Neodiprion lecontei: one gene and its partner. The protein of the gene in region 2 binds, or shares a complex with, the protein of the main gene of each other region. Links are inferred from orthologs where the notes say so. Each region holds a gene or a part of one and is shown on either strand. Other genes may lie near its edges.

Region 1 (5,138 bases), on a different chromosome or scaffold from region 2:
ACTTTTTTCCTTTTTTCTGTACACTGAACAATAAATAAAAATTGTTTCCTTTCGTCTGTTTATCTATGTAGTAGATGCATTCTGCTGCATTGGTTGATTTGTGTTCATATATTCACATCAGTAAGTTCGCTTTCCGAATTGTTTTTTACATGCCACTATTATATTTAACATGAAATGGGGCAGACAGTTTTTGTCTACTTTTTCGAAAAACGGAATATGTGCTTTGTAGGGCGTGATTAATAACATTAATTGCAATTGAAACCATTTACAAAATCATCCTGGTAACATCAAGATAGAAAAAAAAAATGAAATAAAAAATACTTTTACACATTGGTTTTTATTACAAAAAATGGGGGGGGGGAACGTATAATACAGGTACGTACCAATCGAATAATAAACATTTACTTGATCTTCCAAAATCTTTAAAAACATCATCTTAATAATAACAGCAGCATATTATACCATATATACTTAGCTTGCGCGATACTGACCACCTTGACTTTGCATTTCCTACTTAAGAAGCGGTCGAAAATCGGCAACCTAGCGATATATTATTCCTTAGAGTAAGAAATAGTAATCGTATTACTGTCATCCTAACTGTTATTTGCCACTTCATGTAGATGATAAATATGCTACACGCTATTGAACAATCAAAGCCATAATAAAAACTTTCTGTAGTATTAGCACGGAAGTTGATTTCAATATTTATTAACAATACAGTAAAGAATACTAACTACAATGACTTGAGCTCCTTAGCATGTGGATCTTCCTAAATAAATTGTATCAGCAAGTGATTTAGAATGTTGAGTATTATGATTAAACTTAACGAAGGATATTAACTAGGACAATTTAGTAGTAAAAATCGGAAAGGAATTTTTCTCAAATTTTCGCAGATTGTGGAAAATATTACACTTGGGAGATGTGGTGATTGCTTGAAATGTGTAAAATTCGATTGATCGTAAATCTTAAAGTAAATTGTCATATAAAAATATAATCCCATTGCGTACTCAATAAACGGATTCAACGAATTGGTAGTTAATAGTCGTACCTCTTGGCATAACTTTTTTTTGCAACAAACTGTTTTGCGCCACTCGCATTGCTCGGTTTACCGATGAAAAGTCAGCTGTTGGAGAAGTAGGGTACGTAGATGGATTGTAGAAAAAACTGCTAAATATTACAATTGCTTTTCTTTGTACTCCAGAACTTTTCTCTAGTCGTAGGTTGAGATCATCGTCACAGGTGGACATAGCAGAACTAACTGCAACTATATGCCTTTAGAAAGTGTTTTAATTTCAAGGCTTTCGAATATCACGCCCCACTATAGCACAATAATCTTTAACAAACGACAAGTTAGGATATCGTCAGTCAGTGATGTTGGTGTTGCGGTATCATATTAAGGTGCCTGAAATTAAAAAAAAATATAATTGAGTAAACATATGGTAAGAGAATCAGTGAAATAAATTACCATTAAAATTCCAAAATATTTACTTGAGGCTATCGTTGTGAGTCTTGTATTCCATAGAGGCACTGGCAGGAAGATATAACACACGCCTCAACGTATCTCTAATTCTAGCTGTAGTTGCGGCATCCGATGCAGTTTTGTTCCACACGCAGATTATATCCTCCTGAAAAAAAACAGAAAAATGAAAATAGTAAGCAGTATAACAAACATTTTGTCTCATGCAATTAATATTTGGCTGGTGATGTTTCTTTTAACAAATGTTACAATACTAATATCTCACCTGAAATCGTATAGATACGACTGCGCCACATATTTCCTCGCCAACCATAAATTGCTCACCTAACATTGCCATCACAAGATTTTCCCAACAGCGCGAAACTAAACCTTTTCTTAACCTGACAATCCATTTTCCTCCTCTTTGATTAGCTTCATCCTTTGGAAAAAATAAATAATTATTAATCGGTTCCTTCGGATTCGTTTGCGCAAAGATTCTAAAGATTTTCTCAACCTGGGATCTGATGTCACTGAGGGTTTAGACATTGACTTGAATTATTTCACATTCCGTCATTTTCAACATTTTCAAAGTTTTCTCCAGGATTTACACGTACCTCCCACATCGGTTTAATTCCTGCTTTGAATAAATGAAAATCTGTGTGCGTAGTGAGTTCCGAAGGTCTGACTAAGTGGCTGTAGAGGCCCCAGAATTGTTCTACACTAGCAAACCTCCCAACGAGCTTTAAATTCTGGTCATAACTTTGGATATTTGTCTGTTTCCCAGGGTTCCGTCTGCTATACCAGAGGCAATATGCGTACTGGAGTTTGTGCTCGTTTGGACTTATCTCTATGGGGGGCTGTAACAATTGTTAAGTTAAGCAATTGTAAAGAACATAACTGCGAGTCTGACGATTGTTACTAAGGTATGACGTTCATTCCCAAAACTGAATACCAATGTGTCTTTTTCAGCTCGCTGACTATCTCTGGACTGCGAATCGTCATCACCGCTGTCGTCGCTTGTCTTCAAGCTGAAAGAACAGCACACGATCGATCAGTATGTCTAGTTACTCGATTTAGTCTCAAAACGTTGTCACATTGGTTTTCTTGAGCACCGATTATTCAAACGTGTGGATAAATTTTTATAGCGAGAGTGGTATATTTGTAAAGCGGGAAGGATTTTAGAAGCGACAATTGTGTTCAGCTTGTTTGTTGATCTTCCCAATTTGGAAGGGTTTTGAAAAATCGATCCTAATAATTTTTTGGAAAAGAATCACATGATAACTGCGATGGACGGTGATCTTCAGTCAGAATTGGAAACACAAAACATAACCCCTAGTTTGCATATGGTTATGGGATTATGGAATACACGTATAAAGATGATCGGTACGGTTATCCTACTTACGCGTCAAATTTGTTGGACATGGTTAGAGTGGTGGTATAAATATATATATAATATGATTAAAATACTATAAACAATACGCTTAAAAACGTATGATTAAAAATATAAAAGCTTCTTGTATCACTTCTCTTTATGTATTTTTATTTTCCTATATTGGCAGCAGTTTCATACGATTTGCAACATAGATAGGTATAAGTGCAGTTGGCTAAGGCTGATTTTTTCATTCATTTTTAACATGTTGGATGCCCTGTAGCTCGCATTTCAAATCTATAATTAATTTCTCATTCCTGTAGAGAAAACTAGCCAAAAAAAAATTATATCAAGTAGGAAATATGTAATAAGATTTTCCGATCGGGCATCGGAAGCTGTAACTTTCGTTTGAGTAAACTATTCTATTGAGGGTAATCGGATCGGTACAGAATCAAACATCACTGTCGATATGGATGATTGAAATATTTAAATGTTGGTATATAAGGTCTGGCAACGTACCTACTTTCTGTAAAAGATGCTGAAGATTTTCAACATAATTATGTTTCAGTTCTGTGCCCCACCTAGTGCTCCACTAGTAAATATCCTCCGACGTGACGTCGCTGTGCTACGTATAAAGAAGAAAAGATTTATTAAGATGCAGATTGCTCCTCTCTTCTTGCCATTGTGCTTTCGGCCATTGTTGTGCTGTGTGTTTAAAATTAAGGACAGTATATGTATAATATAGAATAACAGGTACAGCTACGAATATAGCACTGCAATAAATCTTATAGAAATGAGCTCTCATTGAGATTTCTCTGTATTTATAACTCGACGCGAGAAGGCAAAAATCAATGTAATGCCATCTGTAAGGTAATTGGACTCGTATTTGTACTACGAGAACTCGTTGGGCATTTTGCGGTGAAGTTTGAAAAATTGTTGTACAAGAAATTAAATAACTATAAAAATGGATAAAAAATATTATCTCTAATTATGAATGTAGCTAATACAGCTTTAACCGTATATTGATTATGTTAATGATCTATTGTGACAAGATCGGAATTAGATAAGCTCTCTAAATACTCTTTTCTAGTCTATTAATTTATATCATTTATATGTAAATGTATATTTCTTCAGTTTATACAATCACTGCACTAGGATTACCCTTGCCACGTTTTATGGTGCGTTTGTGTAGTTTGTATATTATTAACCTTACGTATTAATCTATTTGCGACAAGTTGTGAGTGTTTCTAATTTCTTGGTAATTATTTATGTACATGTATGTGTATATATGTATATGTGTACATATACATGTGTATATATATATATACACATATATACATATGTATGTGTATATACATATATGCACTAGAGTGTCCCAAAAAAACCGAATAATTTCGGATCTGCATTCCGTCAAATATATGCATATATTTATTGTTCAGTTGATAATTCTGGGTTTATAATACATAAAAATTAATTTTTGTTATATTTACGAAAAAAAAAGCATAATTTTAAACAGTCCGAAGTTTGAGGCTCGATATTTTTGAAACGGCTGGATTTACGCAAAATGTCAATCAGATCTTTTTTGTAGAGCATCAAATTTCCTATAAGACCTGATTTTGTCATACTTATGAAGTAGCTCGTTATCCCATCACAAAATTCCAAATTTCAAAAAAAAATTTTCCCATGTTATTTAAATGGGAAATAGAAAATTACAAATCGCCACCTCTAAATATTAATATTAAGAGCTTATATTTTCACACGGTCATTTTCTAGAGATACTCTGACGATTTTTAAATGTTCTTTGAAAAAAAAAAAATAGTCGGTTTTTTTGGGACACTCTAATATACACATGTTTAAAACTAGATTTTTACAATAAACACAGAGGTTTTAGTATATTCACATACGGATTTCTGTGTATAGGTATACTTGAACTAAAATATCCTTCTCCCTAATACGGAGTTGTTCGTAATTCGCATTTGTTCTTGTAACCCAATGTCCTACATACGATGGCAAAAATCTAGATCCAACTTAACTGAGTCTCAAAGCCCTGTTGACATAAGAGCAGCTATTCGATAGAAATTATAGTTTATAGTTTACACAGCCCATTGCAAGATATTTCATTATAAATACATATGTTTCAATGTATTTAGGAATAATTTATCAAATATACACAGGTCATGTGCAAATAATAAATGAATTCGACCGCAGTTTGATGTATTCATTAAAGCTTCAACAATAAACTTTCAGCTTTGTTACTTCTTCTATTTTATAATGGATAATCAAAAACATTTCCGACTGTTCGTACTGTGGAAG
Region 2 (4,872 bases):
ACAAGCCAGGAAGTTTGGCGCAAGGGCTCCAGAGAGTGGCTGTATATTTTTAGAACACGACCAAGAATGACACAGTTCCCAATATAAGATACGACACTAATACAAGACGATACGAAAATATATGTATGTGCACATATTGAATCGCATTCTATCTCTTCTTACATTTTAGTCAAATATCGATCTATTCGAAATAAAAATATTCTTACATCTTCCAAGCCATGTAGCAGTATCCATAAAATCGTAATTTCAATTTTATCCAACCTACATTTTGTTTGCTCAAATACAAATACCGTGATTCAAAGTTCAAGGTCATATCGAGTTTGAAAATATTTAGCATCGTATATATATGCAAATGGAATGTTAAATATTACGTCACACATCATTATATGCATTAGAAGAATTCTTTTTACCAAATTCAATCTCATTGAACATTACATTTCTTACCATTTAACGCCATGTATCATTGTTGTTATTTTTTTTTTTTTTTTTTAACAAGTCATTTCGATGTTTTCTGTAAATGATTTTATCAAATTTTCCACAAGCACAGCAATATTTCATAGTATATGATGTGTGTGTGTGTGTGTGTGTGTGCGTGGGTGTATATATATTTAGTAGATATATTGACTTTTTGCATTGCAGAAACATGTTGATAAATATGGAAAATGTGCGCATATATATGTATATACATTTTCCATAATTATCACCATTTTTCTGTAATGAAAAAAGTTAATAGATCTACTTTTATTTATTATAATGAATCCAGGTTTTGCTTTGAATGAAACATAAGTTAAAGTTACACGAAGATTCTACTATTTACCCGTAAAGTTTAGTTGCTTACTTGTAAAATTTTTTCTAAAGTTATAACCATCAGACCGATTCAAGTTGTACTTGTACATTCCAAAAGACACAACACAACGAAGATAGATTTTCAAAAATGATAGCAAAGCAAATATTCCTAGTAAGCATATTGCAATGAGATGCATTGGCATGGTGTGTAACCTTAGTGTTTACTTTTTTTTCATTTCTGATTCTCAATTTCGAGAAGAGATTCTAACAGGAAACGAGTCATTGGGACAGAAAAGATGAGCAGGAAATAAGTTAGGTATATGTGCGGAATGAGCAGAAATTATCAAAAATATGATGATAGTAATAACAACCACATTTACCGCCTCTTCTTCTGTCATTGGTGTGAGTGCCAGCGGTTGTTGAGCTTGTATAATGTAGAGGGCAGGAAAAGAAGCGAGTGGTTCGGGTGCTTTATAATTCCGGTCAAACAGAGCTAACATCTCTTCTCGACCGTATCTATGCTCAGCTAGCTGGTAACGAGGGGTGGTCAGGATACTAGGCCCTCCCCCTCCTCCGCTGGTATTGCAACCGTCTCCTGACAAGTTGCGCAACCTGTACAACGGCAAAGTTTTGTCAGAGAGATGTGAGGAAAGGAAAAAACAGGGAAACAGAGAATAGCTCACCATGCAGACATTGATAACTATAACTTATGCGCTACATATATTATAAAATTGTGCGAGATTCAATTCTTTCTTCCTCTTTTAATCCTTTAGCTACTTTATTTATTATTTTTCAGATTCAGTTGTTCGTAATGATGCGACTAAAAGATTAAAGAAAAAAAGAAACTCGTTTTGTTACGCAAATGACAGAATATACTTTTTGACTTGATCGTGTTGTCTTTCATGGTACACAAAAATTTTGATTGTAAATATTTAAAAATTTCAGAGTATCTTATGAATTTTTTATGCTTTATTAGTTTTTAGTGGAAGTGGGTTTTAAAGTACTTTTCAGGTCTCTAACTGACTTTGCATAGTAAAAATGTCAAGTGTGAAATGCACTATCTTTTTATGATGAGTAAATACCTTTACTTTCGGCTTTTCAATAATGACAAAGTATAGTGTTATCTAAAAATCATCATATAAATGAAAGCAAATGTCAGACAATGGTGAAAGAAAGATTCATTTATAGTTATAAAACCATCGCTTCAAAATGAAATTTTTCACTTAGATTAATCAAATACCAATCACAAGATTATCAAAATTTTTTAAATGCCAAAGAATCTGTTTGCAGGATTTATTTCTTAAAATTGTATAAATGATAGTATCTCAAAATTTTAATGAAAATTTAGATTCTGAATGATAAAATCTGCTGCCAAATCATAACGCCAGCGAAATTTTTTTAGGGAATAACTTACCACTCTGGACCAAATCTCATTGATTCCGTCATCTCGCAAAGTTAGCTGAAAAATTAAATAAAGTAGCATGAATACATGTATTTGTTTGGCACAAACGGTCAGCAAAGAAAAAATACAATAGTAAATAATAAATAACAGTCTTTATCCGGATTTTAAAAATATAATATTTAACTGTTACTTCACGTTTTGAGAATTTTTATTCAATTTCTGTTTTACTTACACCCTGGACATTCGATAACGCGGTTAAAGCTCGAGTAATTCGCGTATAGGGATGATTTCGCGTTTGAAAGGATTGATGAATTAGAACACGAAACAGATGATTTAGAATATACCTAGAATATACAATAGATGCAACAGACTGGAGAACGTAGAGGAGCCGAAATTAGCGTCACGAAAGTGTCGAGCAGCGGGAAATGAAACTGCGATATCGTTGCGCGGAAAGGAACGAATACCAGAATCGAAAGACGCGAAAACAGAAATATTCTTCCCGTTTATTTACGACATATTTTTTGACGGAGCAGAATCTACGTAGGTATGTATGCATGTAGTATCCCACAGCAGCCAAGGTGGCAATATTAACCAAACTTTTTTCGATTGTAGAAATCACGATATGCCACCGGATCATCATATTCTTTGATAAAAGTTTGTCACCAATGCTTTTGTTGCAATATTTCACTGCCAGTAGCGTCTAGTTTGCTATATAAATTATTGAAATACCTTATTGGGGTTCGGAATTATTGGGCGAATGAAACAACACACCAATATGGCCGATGGGTTTTTTGAGATAGAACGCTGAACGCATGCGTAGTGTTTTTTGTCACGTGATCAGAGATTTAAAGCCAAACCCAAATCCCCGTACAAGGCGCCACTTGTACGAAAGTGGAAGACCTCGGAAGATCTTTTGCTTCCTGCTTTTAAAAAGTACCTTTTATTTGCCTAAACGGAAGTTTTGAAGAAAAAACTGCAGATTGGCTGACCTTTGAATACCGAGTCGTTACCGAGTTCTTCAACTCTTTTGTTTTCGAAATGTGGCAAGTAAAATAAACCCAGACATAGGAACTCATTTCAACCCGACTCCGGTTTGTTTATCAATTTTTTTTTGACAGATTATATCATCAATTTTAATCCTTCCACTTACTTATGTCCTAATGTACGTTACAACTGTGACGAAAATATCGGTCTGATATATTACTTTCCAACACAGACATTCATTTCAACCGACCAAGTTATTTTACCGTTCCGACTCTTTGACTTAACCGACTCCTGATTAAAGCCATATATGGTTAAAGCTGGCTGTAAAAATTAGGAAAAATTTAAGAAAGTTTCAACTGATACCGACAGATTTACGGATTATGTTTTGAAATCGAAAACAGCTATTATTTTCATCGTATCGATTTGTAGTACTATAAATCTGAATGGTAATTAATTTCTCTTTGCAATTGTGTCTAAAGGGTAAGAAAGAGACTCTTATATTTTAAGACAGTTTATTCAAAGGGATTTTAAGTCGTTACAAAGAATAGTAACAATAAAACGTTCTTTTTTCCAGATCTGTGCAACCGGCTATTTAAGAGTGAATCATTTGAGCTTAAGCAAACTGCATGAAAGAATTTTTTTAGAAATCCACACCTTTGAGAAGTCATTCAGATACAGTATAGAATTAAGTTTCTCTCTGATAAAGGGACTCATTATTATAAATCAGACAAAGTAGTGCGGCTTCTTGACCACTATGCCATATTCAGCAACAGCTGGTGTCAGGTCTTCCATTGTTAACGTGTAGCGGCGATCCTTTCCTTTCGTCTTAGTATTTTGATTTGCTCCTCTCGTCTTACAGTGCTGTAACGCATCGTTAGCTATTTCAGAGATGAACTTTTGAGCTGCTAACGAAACTAACCTGACACTAAAACAAGGAGAATAGAATTGTTCCATGAGCAATTACAAACCAATAAATAATAAAATATCTATCGAATAATTCTCGTTTTACTCTTACATTCTTGGATCAGTCGTGTTGAAACCAGCTGTATGGAGATAGTGAGCACTGATCGCATCTGGAACCTGAAATAAACTGCTTGTTTTACAAAGATATAACTTCTTCCAATATCATAGAGCGACTTACGTACAGTCGGAGTATAATCTTCAAGTTGCAGTAGAAAATCGGATAAAGGTTGCCCAGCTGATCGAGGTTCTTCGTTAGTTCCCGAATATATCGGAGGTGTGTCTCGTCCGTAACCTTCTGCCATTTCCGTAATTCAGATTTCGTTAAATCTGAGCCGCTGCAATTTCTCTAGTAACGAACGATGTTTCGATTTCTCGTAAAAACGGTTACAAGTTGTGGCTTTAGTAGCATGAAATTATTTCTAGAGGGTAAGATTATCGTGGATAGATGAAAAAGGTTAATTTAGATGTAAATAAATATTGCAATCCCTCTCTCTGGCAGTACAATAAGCAGAGAGAAACCTTCGAAAACTCCAGACTAACGACAAAATCACTAAATTGGCGACACTGAGTGTCGCTCGTGGGTAGTGAGTGAAGTTGGCGGCAGATCAACGCATCTCGAATCTCTGGAAGCACTTCTGCACTTAGCACTTTAACAGACGACCACGACATTACCGATCGGGGGAATGAAGACATTACCGATGACTCAAGCACAAAATAATTACTTATCCGTAGTGAAT

Evidence for each region.
Region 1: the proteins of GRB10-interacting GYF protein 2 (region 2) and eukaryotic translation initiation factor 4E type 2 are in contact, whole or in part, in a crystal structure (PDB 5NVM), measured with the Homo sapiens proteins. The link is inferred for Neodiprion lecontei from reciprocal best matches to the Homo sapiens genes GIGYF2 and EIF4E2. Residues at the interface, in NP_001096616.1 of Homo sapiens: Leu38, Ala39, Asp40, Tyr41, Arg42, Tyr43, Gly44, Arg45, Met48, Leu49, Leu51, Phe52, Leu53, Asn56, Lys57, Ile58, Pro59, Asp61, Leu62, Asp64, Glu66, Phe67, Pro69, Ile70, Leu71, Gln72; in NP_004837.1 of Homo sapiens: His54, Pro55, Leu56, Gln57, Tyr64, Arg66, Asn81, Lys83, Gln84, Ile85, Gly86, Thr87, Val91, Glu92, Phe94, Trp95, Arg96, Phe97, Ser99, His100, Met101, Val102, Leu107, Phe113, Glu149, Asn150, Leu153, Leu156, Gly157, Glu158.

What each region holds. Positions count from the first base shown.
Region 1 is NC_060260.1:3,932,788-3,937,925, reverse strand, and holds eukaryotic translation initiation factor 4E type 2, read right to left. Parts: upstream 3,004-5,138; 5' UTR 2,879-3,003; coding exon 2,859-2,878; intron 2,485-2,858; coding exon 2,409-2,484; intron 2,314-2,408; coding exon 2,071-2,313; intron 1,896-2,070; coding exon 1,743-1,895; intron 1,626-1,742; coding exon 1,489-1,625; intron 1,403-1,488; coding exon 1,366-1,402; 3' UTR 681-1,365; downstream 1-680. UniProt on the Homo sapiens protein: Recognizes and binds the 7-methylguanosine-containing mRNA cap during an early step in the initiation. Acts as a repressor of translation initiation.
Region 2 is NC_060263.1:40,978,598-40,983,469, forward strand, and holds the start of GRB10-interacting GYF protein 2, read right to left. Parts: upstream 3,103-4,872; 5' UTR 2,918-3,102; intron 2,246-2,917; 5' UTR 2,233-2,245; coding exon 2,201-2,232; intron 1,399-2,200; coding exon 1,167-1,398; coding exon of another isoform or gene 1,158-1,166; intron 1-1,157. Other genes in the region: transcription initiation factor TFIID subunit 10, read right to left, coding at 3,896-4,097, 4,188-4,252, 4,318-4,437. UniProt on the Homo sapiens protein: Key component of the 4EHP-GYF2 complex, a multiprotein complex that acts as a repressor of translation initiation. In the 4EHP-GYF2 complex, acts as a factor that bridges EIF4E2 to ZFP36/TTP, linking translation repression with mRNA decay.